Arabidopsis thaliana: one gene and its partner. The protein of the gene in region 1 purifies or fractionates together with the protein of each later gene. This does not show direct contact. Each region holds a gene or a part of one and is shown in the gene's direction. Other genes may lie near its edges. The genes, in order: AT5G25475 and STRS2.

What was found.
Region 2: the proteins of AT5G25475 (region 1) and STRS2 fractionate together in Arabidopsis thaliana (co-fractionation; one large-scale study listed by BioGRID). This does not show direct contact.

The regions. Positions count from the first base shown.
Region 1 is NC_003076.8:8,865,467-8,872,645, reverse strand, and holds AT5G25475 (AP2/B3-like transcriptional factor family protein), read left to right. Parts: upstream 1-2,824; 5' UTR 2,825-2,935; exon of another isoform or gene 2,936-3,128; 5' UTR 3,129-3,153; coding exon 3,154-3,255; intron 3,256-3,565; coding exon 3,566-3,616; intron 3,617-3,715; coding exon 3,716-4,157; intron 4,158-4,254; coding exon 4,255-4,379; intron 4,380-4,471; coding exon 4,472-4,726; 3' UTR 4,727-4,849; downstream 4,850-7,179. Other genes in the region: DNMT2 (DNA methyltransferase-2), read left to right, coding at 447-527, 611-721, 845-938, 1,015-1,133, 1,234-1,356, 1,564-1,983, 2,073-2,138, 2,233-2,297 and 1 more; AT5G25470 (AP2/B3-like transcriptional factor family protein), read left to right, coding at 5,412-5,513, 5,834-6,194, 6,307-6,428, 6,535-6,792.
Region 2 is NC_003076.8:2,791,454-2,800,202, forward strand, and holds STRS2 (DEA(D/H)-box RNA helicase family protein), read left to right. Parts: upstream 1-2,934; 5' UTR 2,935-3,086; coding exon 3,087-3,328; intron 3,329-3,422; coding exon 3,423-3,529; intron 3,530-3,652; coding exon 3,653-3,708; intron 3,709-3,805; coding exon 3,806-4,030; intron 4,031-4,426; coding exon 4,427-4,633; intron 4,634-4,707; coding exon 4,708-4,794; intron 4,795-4,883; coding exon 4,884-4,979; intron 4,980-5,053; coding exon 5,054-5,269; intron 5,270-5,371; coding exon 5,372-5,554; intron 5,555-5,822; coding exon 5,823-6,095; 3' UTR 6,096-6,307; downstream 6,308-8,749. Other genes in the region: PDE340 (P-loop containing nucleoside triphosphate hydrolases superfamily protein), read left to right, coding at 1-35, 120-226, 497-552, 665-889, 1,047-1,253, 1,328-1,414, 1,503-1,598, 1,678-1,893 and 2 more; AT5G08630 (DDT domain-containing protein), read right to left, coding at 7,122-7,272, 7,445-7,533, 7,623-7,784, 7,885-8,080, 8,167-8,627.

The DNA.
Region 1 (7,179 bases):
TTAGCTAATTTTATATCCCCATGAAATGAAAGATTAGACATAAAAAACCCACAACATACTTTCACACATACTAAAAAGCAAAGTGTTTGATATGCCATGTAATTCCCCAAAATAACATATCCTTAACCTTAATATATAAAACAGTGGTAACTAAAATTGGTTAACGAAAAAAAAAACAAAAATTGGTTAAGGATTGTTTTTTATTTTTTGTAAGTTGAGGGTTATTTTGAAACATATTGGCTAGTTTGAGGGTTTTCTTGCTAATTAATAAAGAAAAACGACAAAAAACAAAAAACATGGTTCTAACAATAAACCGAACAAGCGTGGTATGGTTCTATTACTAAACAGAACAATATAAAAAAACGGTTTAATTTACCCAAACGAATAAGAACAATAACCAAAAACTCCCAAATTAATTTTGCTTAAGCAGCAGCAGAAGAAGAAGCATGGCGGAACAAGAATTACAGAGAATCAATGAGAAGAAGCCATGGCAAGTTCTCGAGTTCTACAGTGGAATCGGTGGAATGGTAACAGTCTCCTTCACCTCCAATTCTATGTTTTTAGTGAAGTCTACTCTGTCTCATAAACCCTAATTCCTTTTTGCTCTTAGAGATACTCTTTAATGGCGTCAGGCATCGTCTCAGAAGTAGTAGAAGCTTTTGAGATCAATGATTCTGCTAATGATGTTTATCAACATAATTTCAAACATCGTCCCTATCAGGTTGCTTAATGCTTATATATGATATAATCAATAGAAGCATTGTTACATTTGCAAATCATAGATGATGCTAGTTCTGTGACTTAGTCCATGATTAGTTCTTATTGTTTTGGTTGTTTTTCATAGGGGAATATTCAGAGTCTCACTGCTGCTGATTTAGATAAGTATAATGCAGATGCTTGGCTTCTTTCTCCTCCTTGTCAACCTTATACTAGACAAGGTGATTCATTTCACTGTTGTTTTCTTTACTATCAACATGACTTGCTTTTGGATACTAACAGTTTTTTTTTGGTTAGGCCTTCAGAAACACTCTGGTGATGCTCGGGCTTTTTCGTTTCTCAGGATTCTTGAGCTTATACCGCATACAACAAAGCCTCCACAAATGTTATTTGTAGAGAATGTTGTTGGATTTGAGGTATAGTGTTTGCTTATGCTTCCCAGCTAGAGTACTTGTTCTCGATCATCTTCTTTGAAGTCGTGACATTTTTGCTTATTGGTGGTGTTTGTTGGTGCAGACTTCGGATACACATATGGAAATGATTGGTACATTAACAAAATTAGATTATGTCACACAAGAGTTTATATTGAGTCCGCTGCAGTTTGGTGTGCCGTATTCAAGACCACGTTATTTCTGCCTGGTACTTTCTCTTTACCTTATGATTGCGTAGTGCATATCTGTGTACCTAAAACTGTTAATTTTAGTAGTCTGAGAATGTATAAGTATATGCTGATTATGAAACTTTCTCATGTAGTGTGCACTTTCTCATGTATATGCGTTAATCTTTTTGTTTTAGTTAAAACGTCACTAACTTTGAAATCATTTGATTTACCTGGTGTCTTTGTAGGCCAAAAGAAAACCTCTGCCATTTAAGTCCCAACACAGTAATAACAAACTACTCTGGTCTCCAGACCCGTTATATGGGCGTGATGATCAGGTTGAGTTTGGAAAATGTCAAGCAGAAGAAGGATTGGATAAATTACTTGAGTTTTGCAAACCAGTAGAGAAGTTTCTCGAGTTAGCTGCACATGTTGATGGCGAGCCAAGTAGTGTTGATGACTCTGAAAATGGGTCCAAAGATTGTTGTGGACAAGAAGGCGATTCTGTCCCAGACTCTGTACATCAGTATCTAGTACCAGTTAGTTTGATAGAGAGATGGGGAAACGCAATGGACATTGTTTACCCTGATTCAAAGAGATGTTGTTGTTTCACAAAGAGTTATTATCGATACGTGAAGGGCACAGGTTCCCTATTGGCAACTGTCCAGGTACGTTCTTCCATGGAGTATACAATATTACTTTCCTCTGTATTTGCAAAGTGAAAAGAAATGCTTATCGTGAATCTGTGATCACGCAGCCAAAAATCAAGGGTAAGGAATCTTGTTTGAAGGAGCAACGGCTTAGATACTTCACCCCTAGAGAGGTTAAGCACTGTCCTTTACTTTTACTACTAATGCCTCACTGAAAAAGTCAGCTTTATTTCATTGAAAGATGATGTTCGGTTTCTATTTGTTTAGGTAGCTAACTTTCACTCATTCCCTGAAGATTTTGAGTTCCCCAAGCACATAAGCCTTCGACAAAGGTACGCTGTTCATACCGTCAACACCATCTAAGCCAGAAAAAGCTACTGTCTATATAGATTATGTGCATCCAAGTATAACAGAGGCACCGTTTTGATTCGAATATAGAATTTAACCCATAATACCCTTATTTCTCCCGTACTTCCTGTTTGAAATGTGGAAATAGTTGAACACAAGAACATGAATCTCATGAACTCCTCTTTGTGCAGATACGCAATGCTTGGAAACAGTTTAAGTGTAGCAGTGGTGGCTCCTCTGCTTCGGTATCTATTCGATTCTTGACTACACAATTTGATGCACTAAGTGACGCGACCAATTACCGGAATCAGTTATTCTCCTGAACAAGCTTCTACTACTTTTTTGTTTACTGATAAAGTTCAAACTGATGAACTTACGTTTTGTTATCGATCCTTAACTTTATGGGCCAGTATTTTAAATGGGCCTTATTCGGCCCGTTAATCATAATTTCTTACCCAAATTTCCGTAAAAAGTGACCATAATATTGGCATGAGACATGAGTCTTTTGACTGTCTCTCTCTCTCTCTCAGTCACTTTAAATTATTTGAGCAGCCGCAGCGAGAGGAAGTTTTCTTCAACTGCGACGGAGCGTGAAGTTCACGCTCCGGCGGTACTACCTAAGGTTTGTCGTTAGGGACGTTACTTTTACGTTATTACTTGCTTCTTCGCCACTTTTCTTCATTTTTTCCGACCAGAGATATTTTGTTCCTCCTTGTACGTACAAAGTGTTTGTTCTTTTTTTACTTTTCCAATTTTTTGGCTCTAATTTTATGAACAAATGCAAGTAGGTCATCATACAAACCCTAATTTTGCAGAACTGATCCAGCTTTGAAAAGAAAAATGTTGCCTAAGAATGCTATTGAGAAGATCCAAGCAAATGTGAGCAAGCCTTGCTTCTGGAAGTCTCTCTCTCCAGGACAAACTTGGAAATCTAAATCCATGGTAACTTCAATTATGACTCACTCCTCCTTTGATATTTACTCACTGTTCTTAGACTCTTTCTATTGAATTTGCTTTGTTACAAGTTTATAGCTTTGGATGTTGTTGCTAGAACAGTAAGATGTGATAATCCTTTCATGTTTAGTTTAGCCCTTTTATAGACAAGTTATTACAGAACTACCCGTTTGTTGTTGTTTGAAAAAGTTCAGATCTTTTCTTCTTTTAAGAAACTTTGGAGACATTCTAATGGCACAATGCCTCCTCTGCTTCTTGCTGCTTGGTCTTCATTTTGTTACTTATTGACCTGTTTTAGCTACCGTTATGGGTACTTTTACGTCGCAGGTTTCGTTTGCCCTTAGCTCATGTTTATGCTAGTGTTGGTTCTAGTCCTTTTCTCTGCATTTCTTGACCTACAATCCAATCTTTTAAGCTCGTGTTTTTGCTGCTTGTGTTTTTTCTGTAGAAAGTTATAACTTTTAGTCTCATGTTTCCTCTTTTGAATGTAAGTATTGTTTTGTTGATTTCTGGGTTTATTAAGAGGATAATTCCGGAAGACTTTGTGAGAAGAACGCGTGGTGCTTTTGAGCACAGAGTGGTGTTTAGTGTTCGTTGGGAAAACTCCTGGCAACTCTGGCTGGAGCGAGAGAAGAACGAGCTGTTTATGATAGAAGAAGATTGGAATGAGTTTGTAGACGACAATCATTTAGGTCCAAATGATAATCTGTTCATCAAACACGATGAGACGATGAATCTTGAAGTGCAAATCTTTAAGAATAATGGGGTTGAGATCATTGATGTACCTCTTGGAGTTGAACCCGAAACTGAACCATTTCATCCTACGCCCAAGAAACCTCACAAGGAGACAACCCCTGCCTCTTCCTTTGCCTCTGGCTCTGGCTGCTCTGGTAAGGCTATTCAGATCGATAGAATCATCAAACTCCAAACTATCATTTGTTCTCTATGCCAATGTTTGATTGGATTCTGTTTTGGTGGAATTCTCAGCAAATGGAGGGACAAATGGCCGAGGAAAACAACGTTCTAGTGATGTCAAAAACCCTGAGCGATACCTCTTGAATCCTGAAAACCCTTACTTTGTGCAAGCGGTGACAAAAAGGAACGACGTTCTGGTAATAATACAAGTGTTTACATTGTCAGCTTTTTATTCCATTTGTGGCCTAGAAAGCTAAAGCTTGTCTTTGTTTCCTGCTGTATGTGCAAGTATGTGAGCCGACCGGTGGTTCAGAGCTATCGCTTGAAGTTTGGTCCCGTTAAGTCCACCATTACCTATCTTCTTCCCGGGGAGAAAAAAGAGGAAGGCGAGAATAGAATCTATAACGGGAAACCTTGTTTCAGTGGCTGGTCGGTTCTATGTCGGAGGCACAATCTGAATATCGGAGACTCCGTGGTTTGTGAACTTGAACGCTCCGGTGGTGTGGTTACCGCTGTAAGAGTGCATTTCGTCAAGAAAGACTAGACCAATCCTCTCTAGTAACAACAATATGTTATTTACAACTTTCTGTAACAATGCTAAATGTGTCAATTATGTGTTAGTTTAACAAACTTGTCAATTCACTTGCAATCGAATCGATTCTAGAGTATGATGGGCCAGTTTCTAATATGGGCCATATCCGGCCCAATAATATTGTTTGACCATTTTATTATTTCCATACACAGTACACATTTGACACTTGTCACAGTGCTGTTGACTGTTGAGTCTCCTCTCTTTCTGAAAGCAGAGAGATTCGATTTGGAGAACAAGGGCTGAGAAGAGCAGACACAGCAGCGAGAGGAAGCTTCTTCGACTGCGACGGTGCGTGAATTTCATGCTCCGGCGACGTTACTTTTGACGCAATTACTTGCCTTTTACGCATTTACTTTGTTCTGACTTCTGACCTAAGTTTTTTTCCCCTTTGACCGTACAAATTTTGCTTCTTTCTTCGTTTTTCTCTGTGTCTCTCATTAGTCACCATTTTCGTGTTCTCTGCTTTGTAACACTTTCGGGTTTAGCTACTGAAAGTAAGAAAAGCGAGATAACGCATTAAAGGTTTAATTTTTATCCAGTTTTACTGTTTCACTGATTTCATTACATGCAAGTCATCTTCGTCTTTGTTTATGAACCCTAATTTTGCCGAATCCATCCAGCTTTTGAAGAGAACAAGATGTTGCCTAGGAATGCTACTGATAAGATACAAGGAAATGTGAGCAAGCCTTGCTTTTGGAAGTCTCTGTCTCCAGGACAAAACTGGAAATCTAAATCCATGGTAAAACAAAATTAGTCTCTCTTCTTTTCTAATCTTTCGAAAATGTAGCTCCTTTGATTTTGTACTCACTGTTATTTCCATTGAACTTCTTTGTTTGCTCTAAAGATCTATTGTTCGTTTGTTGTTCTTGTTCGAAAAAGCTTTTGATCTTTCAAGAAACATTTGAGGAGATTTTAATGGCACAATGATTCCTGCTTCTTGTTCTGCTTGACAAGCTCGTGTTCTGCTGATTGTATTTTAGCTTTTAGTCTCATGTTTCCTTCTTCTAATGTCAGTATCGTTTGTTGTTGTCAACTGTTATGATTTCTGTCTTTATGAAGAGGAGTTTTCCGGAAGAGTTTGTGAAAAGCACGCCCGGGGCTTTTGAGCACAGAGTTGTGTTCAGTGTTCGTTGGGGCAATTCTTGGCAACTCTGGCTGGAGCGAGAAGAAAAAGATCTGTTTATGATAGAAGAAGATTGGGATGAGTTTGTGGATGACAACCATTTAGGCCCAAATGATAACGTGTTCTTCAGACACGATGACAAGATGTTTCTTGAAGTGCAAATCTTTAAGAATGATGGGAACGAGATCATCGATGCACCTCCTGAAGTTGAACCTGAAACTGAACCATTTCATCCTACTACACCAAAAAATTCTCACAAGGAGACAACCACTGCCTCTGCCTCTGCTTCTGCTTCTGGTATGGCTATATTCAGAATGAAAGAATCGTTTTGATGCTCTTCATACTCAATACTACTCTTTTCTTTTCTCTCAATGCCAAAGTTTGCTTCTTTTTGTTTCTGTTTTGGCAGAATTTTCAGACAATTGGCGAGAGACACATGGTTGTGCTGATATCAAAAACCCTGAGCTGTACCTTCTAAACCCCAAAAACCCTTACTTTGTGAAAACGCTGACAAAAGGGAATGACGTTTTGGTAATAAGAGCAGTGTTTTCATCAGTTTTGATTCTAGTTTACGTTTGTTGCCTCTAAATCTAAGACTTATCTTTCTCTCTATTTCTCATGTACAATGTGCAACTAGTATGTGCCCAAAACAGTGATTAAGAAGTATGGCTTGAAGTTTGGTCCCCATTTGTCCCCCATGCATTACCTTCTTCCCGGAGATAAAATAAATGGCTCCACTAAGATCTATGGCGGTGGCAGTGCCCCTTGTTTCAATGGCTGGGTGGACCTATGTCGAAAGTACAATCTGAAAACCGGAGACTCTATGGTTTGTGAACTTGAACGCTCTGGAGAACTGGTTACTGCTGTTAGAGTGCACTTCATCAATAAAACATGAGATGAGTCCTCTCTAGTCTCTTTTCTTTAACATTCGTGTTTACCAAACTTACTATTGTAATGTTTATATGTGACCCTTATGTTGCTTTAACAAAACTTAAATGCTAAATTTCTTATGCTTCTGTTACTTCATTGGAAATGCTCGATTGTGATTCAGTCTTATATGCTCGTGAGAAGTAAAATATGCATACAACTTTATTGTAAGTTTTGTAACTCTTCCATAAAAATTAAAAGGCCTAGATACATAAGATATAGGCAACGTTTCTTTTGCCTTCTCATACAAGAAAATACAATATAAGCAAAGGCCCATCTGCCTATATAAAACCCTAACTCTCGTAAATAAAACTCTGTTTTTTTCACCTTCTCGTTTCAATAAAATCCAACACAC
Region 2 (8,749 bases), 6.1 Mb from region 1:
GTCAAAACTTCAGATTCTTACTTGTCTAAGACAAGGTACATTATTTTTCACTATGTGACTTACTTTGACCATTTAGTTCTGTTTGATTGATAATATTCTTTATGGTACATGGTTTACAGATTTGATCAATTCCCACTCTCTCCCTTATCGCTAAAAGCCATCAAGGATGCGGGATTTGAGACAATGACTGTTGTGCAGGAGGCTACTCTTCCTATCATTCTCCAAGGTGAACTTTTCTTCATGAGCCTTGTTTACGATGCAAAAAGAAAAAATGCCATGATTTAGAAATGTAGTGACAATTTCTAATTGACGACATCTCACAAGCTTTTACAAATCACGTTGGCAATAGCCAATAGGTATTTCAAAGACAACTTAAGAATCTTGAGTATTTCTCTTCCGGATCCCCTCAAATTTGCCATGACTGCCATTTTGTAGCTTGATTGATTGTTTAAATTCCTCTTAACTCCTTGGTTTCTTCCATGCTCTGTTTTTCCAGGTAAAGATGTCCTAGCCAAGGCCAAAACAGGCACTGGTAAAACCGTTGCATTTTTGGTGAGACATTGTACTCTCTGGGTTCATGGATATATGTTGGTTGGATAGGAATTGATTGGGCCTTTGATTGGGATATGTTCTTACTTCTTATCGTTGATGTTTATTTTTCAAGCTTCCAGCAATTGAAGCTGTTATCAAATCTCCTCCTGCAAGCCGGGATAGTAGGCAACCCCCAATTATTGTGCTTGTGGTATGTCCTACTCGGGAACTTGCCAGTCAAGCTGCGGCAGAGGCAAATACCTTACTGAAGTATCACCCCTCTATTGGTGTTCAAGTTGTGATTGGAGGCACAAAGCTTCCTACAGAGCAAAGGCGTATGCAAACGAATCCTTGCCAGGTAATAAGAAATTTCTTCCGTCTCTACAGGTGTTTTAATTTGAAGTTAATTATGAGCAAATCTTGCACTTCCCTTAAACTGCGCTTCTAAGATGGCTGCAGATACCGTGACCTATATCTATATATTGTTGAATAATCACATATTTGAACACTCTCAGATCCTTGTGGCTACACCTGGAAGGCTCAAAGACCATATTGAAAACACTTCTGGATTCGCAACAAGATTGATGGGTGTGAAAGTCCTTGTGCTTGACGAAGCTGATCATCTCTTGGACATGGGTTTCCGAAGGGACATTGAGAGGATAATTGCCGCTGTTCCTAAGCAGAGACAAACATTTTTATTTTCTGCCACCGTACCTGAAGAGGTTACTGTCACTTTCTAGTACAAAGGCTCTCATTTTTTGGGTTGGAATCTTGAACTGTGTTTTTTGGTGTCAAGGTCCGCCAAATATGCCATGTTGCTCTGAAACGGGATCATGAGTTCATCAATTGTGTCCAAGAGGGCTCTGGGGAGACACATCAAAAGGTAAAAGATTTCTCTTTAGCTTAATTTGAGTGAATGGCCTGCCATATGATTGGATGTTATCAGTTTCTTATGTTTGTTTTATCTCCAGGTCACACAAATGTACATGATTGCATCACTGGATAGACATTTTTCGCTTCTACATGTGCTTCTTAAAGAACACATCGCAGATAATGTGGACTATAAGGTAACATTATCTCTCTAGTGCCATTATGAATAACCAATGTCTGTATTTCTGAACTATCCCGATTTCGTTGCTGTTGTAGGTTATCATTTTCTGTACAACTGCTATGGTGACAAGATTGGTGGCTGATCTGCTTAGTCAGCTAAGCCTGAACGTCAGAGAGATCCATTCTAGAAAACCGCAGAGTTACAGAACCAGAGTTTCTGATGAGTTCCGCAAGTCCAAGGCTATTATCCTAGTCACATCTGATGTATCTGCTCGTGGTGTGGATTACCCTGATGTGTCATTGGTCGTACAGGTAACCATAGTTTTCTGACATGGAATTGTTCTGCGACTACAAATTTTATCTCTTTTGTTTAACTGAAGTTGTTTGCTTTTGCAGATGGGATTGCCATCAGACAGGGAGCAGTATATACATAGACTTGGCAGAACCGGGCGGAAAGGGAAGGAAGGGGAAGGAGTCTTATTGTTGGCACCATGGGAAGAGTACTTTATGTCATCTGTTAAAGACTTGCCCATCACCAAGTCTCCACTACCGCCAATAGACCCAGAGGCTGTGAAAAGGGTAAGCATTTTCATATAAGCGCACTCACATGAATTTGTGATTCTACTGAACTTGGCAAGCCTTTCTTAACTCATATTTGCTGGCAATCCAGAATGAGTAGGGAACTTGAAACTGAACCTGAATCTCATAACACAACTCTTTGAAGTTAAAAGCTATGATTTTTGAAGGGTGTGAGTATGAGTGAGTATTGCTGGGTATAATAAACTTGTTGAATTCAGGTGCAGAAAGGGCTGAGCCAAGTGGAAATGAAGAACAAGGAGGCGGCGTATCAGGCGTGGTTGGGTTACTACAAATCTCAGAAGATGATTGCAAGAGACACGACCAGACTGGTGGAGCTGGCCAATGAGTTTAGCCGCAGCATGGGACTTGACAGCCCACCAGCTATCCCCAAAAATGTTCTTGGCAAGATGGGTCTCAAAAACGTTCCTGGTCTTAGAACCAAGTAGATTTTCTTTTTTCCTAGTGATCTGCTTTGGTTTTAAAACTTTAATGTTTTGTAAGTGTAGACGTGTAGTCTCTTGTCATTCTTGCTACACTCTTAAGACTTCCTAACTAAAAAATCCTATAAAAGTTGCCTTCTTATAAAGGTCTTTTGTTTGTAATGGCTTGTTAACATGAGTATTTCGATTTTCACTAAAAAAACAAAAAAAGTATTAAGTTGGATTATACGTGTTTGAAGATTTAACAAAACTTTTTTCTGATATAAAACAACACGTTTCAAAGCAAAGGGAGCAACTACATGCCGTTTTGTATATTTGTTGACATTTTGGGCCACTCGCATCTGTACCCTTAAGCCCTAAATTGTGTTTCCTACAAAACCTTTTAAACCCTAAAATAACCGACGGCGGGAATTTGGTAGTTGCAGAGCCTTACAGTTAAAGGCATACGCTTCACCGTTCTCTTCCGTCTTTTCTCCACTCGTTGGCATGAATTCCGATGGACCCAAATCCGGTAAGAAGAGACGAGAGATTCGTGCTAAACTTGTGAAGAAGTTGACGAGTGACGAAGATGGCTCGGGAAAGCTAGTCAAGGACAACAATAAGAGTCTAAAGAGGGGAAGAGAAGGCAAATCTGATGTTGATGAGCCTCTTATTAAGAAACCAGCTTCTACTACGCCTCTAGTGACTCAAATTGCTAAAACTTCAGATTCTTATTTGTCAAAGACAAGGTACATTTTTTGCGTTTCTTTCGGAGATAGCTTCAGAGCTATTCTTAGTGGTGTTTGATTCAGATTTCTCTTTATGGTAAAATGGTTCTTACAGATTTGATCAGTTCCCACTGTCTCCCTTAACGTTAAAAGGAATTGAGGATGCTGGATTTAAGACAATGACTGTTGTTCAGGAGGCTACTCTTCCTCTCATTCTCCAAGGTGAACTTGCCTAAAAGGCAGAAACTTTTGCATCTTTCTTCATGATTCCTTATGTTTTGTCATGACTTAAACATTTTGAAGCTTGACTATTCCTCTATTAATTATTCTTCCTTGGTTTTCCAGGTAAAGATATCCTTGCGAAGGCCAAAACAGGCACTGGGAAAACAGTTGCATTTTTGGTGAGATACCCTTTTTGGGTTCATGTTGGTCATTTAGGATTACAATCAGTTTGATTAATTGGGGTTTGTTATTAATGTTGATGTTTCTTTTTCCAAGCTTCCATCAATTGAAGCTGTTATCAAAGCTCCTCCTGCAAGCCGTGATAATAGGCATCCCCCAATTATTGTGCTTGTGGTATGTCCTACTCGGGAACTTGCTTGTCAAGCTGCTGCAGAAGCAAACATCTTGCTCAAGTATCACCCATCTATTGGTGTTCAAGTTGTGATTGGAGGCACTAAGCTTCCTACGGAGCAAAGGCGCTTGCAAAAGAGTCCTTGCCAGGTAAATTTTCATTTGTATTAATATGTAAACTTATTTCTGAGCAAATCATGCATTTCCATTGAGCTGGACTTCTCAGATGAAACTTGTTATCTGACCAATAGAGTTGCATATATTTCTTTTCAAACTGAGTTGGTTATCCTTCGCTAGAACAATATGGACTCATGATTTGAATTTCTAAGAATATGAATTAAGATAGATTGTTTTTTAAAAAGAAATGGATTTCCCTGTCCAAGTTAGGATTGTTTTTCAGTCACAGGATATGTTCTTTGATCTAAGCCTCATTATGCATTTAGATTTTTTTGCATTATTTGTCTTCCCTGCAGTCAAAGTGGCTGCAGAGATGGTGATCTTTGTCTCTGTATATTTTTGAATAATAACATATTTTCACACTCTCAGATTCTCGTGGCTACACCCGGAAGGCTCAAAGACCATATCGACAACACTTCTGGATTTGCAACAAGGTTGATGGGTGTGAAAGTCCTTGTGCTTGATGAAGCTGATCATCTCTTGGACATGGGTTTCCGAAGGGAAATTGAGAGGATAATTGCTGCTGTTCCTAAGCAGAGACAAACATTTTTATTTTCCGCCACAGTATCTGATGAGGTAAGTGTCAGTTTCTTGCACAAAGGCTTTCACTTTTGGGTTGGAATCTTGAACTGTGTTTTTTTGCTATCAAGGTCCGCCAAATATGCCATGTTGCTCTGAAACGGGATCATGAATTCGTCAACTGTGTTCAAGAGGGTGCTGGGGAGACGCATCAAAAGGTAAAAGATTGCTTTTTAAGTTCATTTGAACCAATGGCCTGCCATATGATTGGATGCTAATGGTTTCTCATGTCTGTTTTATCTCCCAGGTTTCACAAATGTACATGATTGCATCATTAGATAGACATTTCTCGCTTCTATATGGTCTTCTGAAAAAACACATCACAGATAATGTGGGCTATAAGGTATATTGTTCCTCCAATGCCTTTGTTAATCACCACTGTAATTCTGGATTAACATGATCTCCTTGCTGTTGCAGGTTATTATTTTCTGTACAACTGCTATGGTTACAAGATTGGTGGCTGATCTGCTTGGTAAGCTAAGCCTTAACGTCAGAGAGATCCATTCTAGAAAACCGCAGAGTTACAGAACCAGAGTTTCTGATGAGTTCCGCAAGTCCAAGAGTATTATCCTTGTGACATCTGATGTATCTGCTCGTGGTGTTGATTACCCTGATGTGTCCTTAGTCGTACAGGTAAATCATGTAGTAGTTTTCAATCATGGAATTGAACAGTATCTACAAAGTTGATTGTTTTTTTTTACCGAAGTTGTTGTTGTGTGTATGTTGCTTTTGCAGATGGGATTGCCATCAGACAGGGAACAATATATACATAGACTTGGCAGAACTGGGCGGAAAGGTAAGGAAGGAGAAGGTGTACTATTGTTGGCACCGTGGGAAGAGTACTTTCTATCTTCTGTTAAGGACTTGCCCATCACAAAGTCTTCTTTACCGCCAATAGACCATGAGGCTGTGAAAAAGGTAAGATTTTTCAAATACTACTACTGTAAACTTAGCCTGAATTTGTGACTCTATTGAACTTAGCAAGCCTTTCGTAAATTCTATTCGCTAGCAAGTAGCAAACCAGAACAACCAGAATGTTATATAAACTGTATTGGAATATGTATGCAAAGGAATAAGATTTTCACATCTCACGAAACTAACCTCTTTTACGTTAGAAGCCAAATTTTTCTTAAGAGTATGTAACTCGAGTGAGCATTGATGGGTGTTGAAAACATGTTAAAATCAGGTGCAGAAAGGGCTTATCCAAGTGGAAATGACGAACAAGGAGGCGGCATATCAGGCATGGTTGGGTTACTACAAATCGCAGAAGAAGATTGCTAGAGACACGACCAGACTGGTGGAGTTAGCTAATGAGTTTAGCCGCAGTATGGGACTTAGCATCCCTCCGGCTATCCCTGTAAATATTCTTGGCAAGATGGGTCTCAAAAACGTTCCTGGTATTAGAGTCGCTCCAGGTTTTGACAAGAAACCTGCAAAGAGAAATTATCGTTCCCGCTAGATTTTCTCTTTCTTTGCCTAATGGTATTGTTTGTGTTGAACTTTATTGCTTTTTTGAAGTTTGGCATTTTGGTAAAAGTTACCTTCTTAAGAATTTCATTTGGTAATTTACTAATTTGTCAAGATCCGGTTTGTTTCGGAGCCCAAAAATCCGAAAATAAAAAATTCAGAAAAAATAGAAATTTCTTTGGTTAACTGATCGGTTCATCTCTTCCAAAAAATTATCTAATCGGTTCATCTTACCGAACCGAATTTGTTACCCAAAAAGAAAGAGTTCCGATTGGCTTTTTGGCTGAAAACTAAACCTGACTTGTAGTCCTTGGTTTGCTTCTGAATCATAGCTAGGCTGTTCAACATTGTAAATTCTGTCTTACAGCCCACAGGTGTGGGTGTAATTACCTGGATTTGAAAATGAGAACTGACTTTCTTCTCCGAGTAGTTGTATACTGTATAGATTCAAATGTCGAACTACCAAATTCATGTTTTGATTTTTTTAAAACAAAAAACAAGGGTACAACGATGGTCCTAAATGTTTATTTTGGAGCTAAAACAAAGATGACATGCCATCAAATTTATCAAACCGCACTGAAAACAAAAATAAGTCAAAAGGTTTTAGCCTAATTAATCTAAGTCTTCTGTAACAAAGCTTAGAAATATAGCCACCAACCAAAATCAGACATAGATGCAAATCTGCAATGAAACATTTTAGGAATAGTAATAAAACTTCTAATTTCCCCGGAAAAAATAAAAAATAAATGGTACCTCGGTATCATAGAGTACTGAAAAGAAGGTGATGATGAATGGTAACAGAAAAACAAAACAAAACCCAACACCATCTTTCTACTCAAGCGTTGCCTTCACCATACCATAAGACTAATGCCTTTTTGTTGTAACTTGTAAAAAGCTCTACTAAACCCTAAAGGAGCCAAAGAAAAAACAGAGAAGACAAGCTGAAAATGGTAAGTTTTGGCTATGGCTGCAACTGCAACTACAAGCTTTTCCTATACAGAATTGAATTCTGCTACGTTTAGTCCTCTTTCCACTTGTTAACATATCTCAAGAAGGCACTAGCTGGATTTTCATGTAGTGGAGCTCTTACACGGGTAGATCTCCTAACCACTGCTTCTTCCATTTCTATGTTGTGAGCAATGTCCTTCGTCCTCTTTTGTAGTGTAGAGCTGCAAATCACAAGTCATCGCCAGGTTTTAAAGCCATTACACATAAACAAGGGGACTTCGATAAATGTGGTGTTACTCTTCTACATGTGCATTAAAGTGAGGGTAGAACAAGTTACCAGAATAATAAATACTGCAGATTATGCAAAATAGAAATGGGAAGCTATAAACTGACCATATTCTGTCATAGAATATCTCTAGTTGTGTATATAATGACAGTTCCCTCTCTCCTTTACGGTTTAGTGACCCCATCAATGCATCCAGCTGGATCTCAAGTAACATACACAAATCGGAACAAGAACTATACAATCCATTTATCAAACAAAGAAATGAACCACGTGGATTGATGATACCTCTTCCTTGGCGGTATAATAGCCCCATTCTTCGGAATCAGAATTCTCAACAAATATTCTCCCATTGCTTCGGAACCACCAGTACCTGTTGTAGTCCCGATCTTTACCCAAGGGGTTTGTACGTATGACTATTTTCTCCATCTCCCGCTCATAATATTGCCTCTGCATGTATACAAAAAATTTCAGACTTGATGGGTAAAAAAAGCACACACGGGGAATATATGCAAACAACCAAATATAACTATGAGGGGACGGACTTTACCCTCTGTTCGGGCCCCCTCCTTTCAAAAGTTCCTTTCTCATCTTCGCTTGCAGATTTTACCTCCTGCTTCTTCACTGAAAATCCTTTCTCCTCTTCGTCCTCCTCTGCTTTCTCATCCTCCTCCTCCTCTTTTGGTTCGATTTTTGTATCCGTCATCTGCCTTTTGTGCTTTCTCAGATAGACATTCCCTATAAGCCTATCACAACCATAAGAACAATGAGCTCCCACCAAGTCATCCAAAAACAAAATGTTCTGCTTATGTGTAAATAGGATAAGCCAAACCTTTTCTCTGATTTTTCAATGTTTTCCGAAGAAACAGACCCATTCTCCATCTTGCTTCCCCCTGCAGTGCTCTCATTCTTTTTGCTGTCTTCACTGCTTTCTAATACTTGTGCGCTATTTTTCTTTTTCTCCAACCTATTATTGTCTAAAACTCCATTAGCTTCCTCACCAGTTTTGGACCGTTCTTTCTCCTCTCTTATCTGTCGGGCCTCCGCCAATGCTTCTTCTCTTCTAGCAGCTCCAAGGGCATGCCGTTGTTCAACAAGCTCATCTATTTCCCCCTTGAACATACCTGTTTCGGTTATATGGTTCACTAATTCCCTTAAGATTTTCAATTTTACATTTGGGTCCAAGAGACCATAATGTCCACGTTTGATCGTTCCAACATCGAAGCACAAATCAGGAGTGTTGACTGATTCCAGGAAATCACAAAGATACTCTGCCCACGTGATCAATGTTATCTGAAATAAGATGAAATAAAGCAACAAGCATGCCATCAACCACAAAAACAAAACTGAAAAATCACAAGGCTGGCGACTTAATGTTGAATGAGAAAAGCATATTACTGTGCGGCCTAATTTGT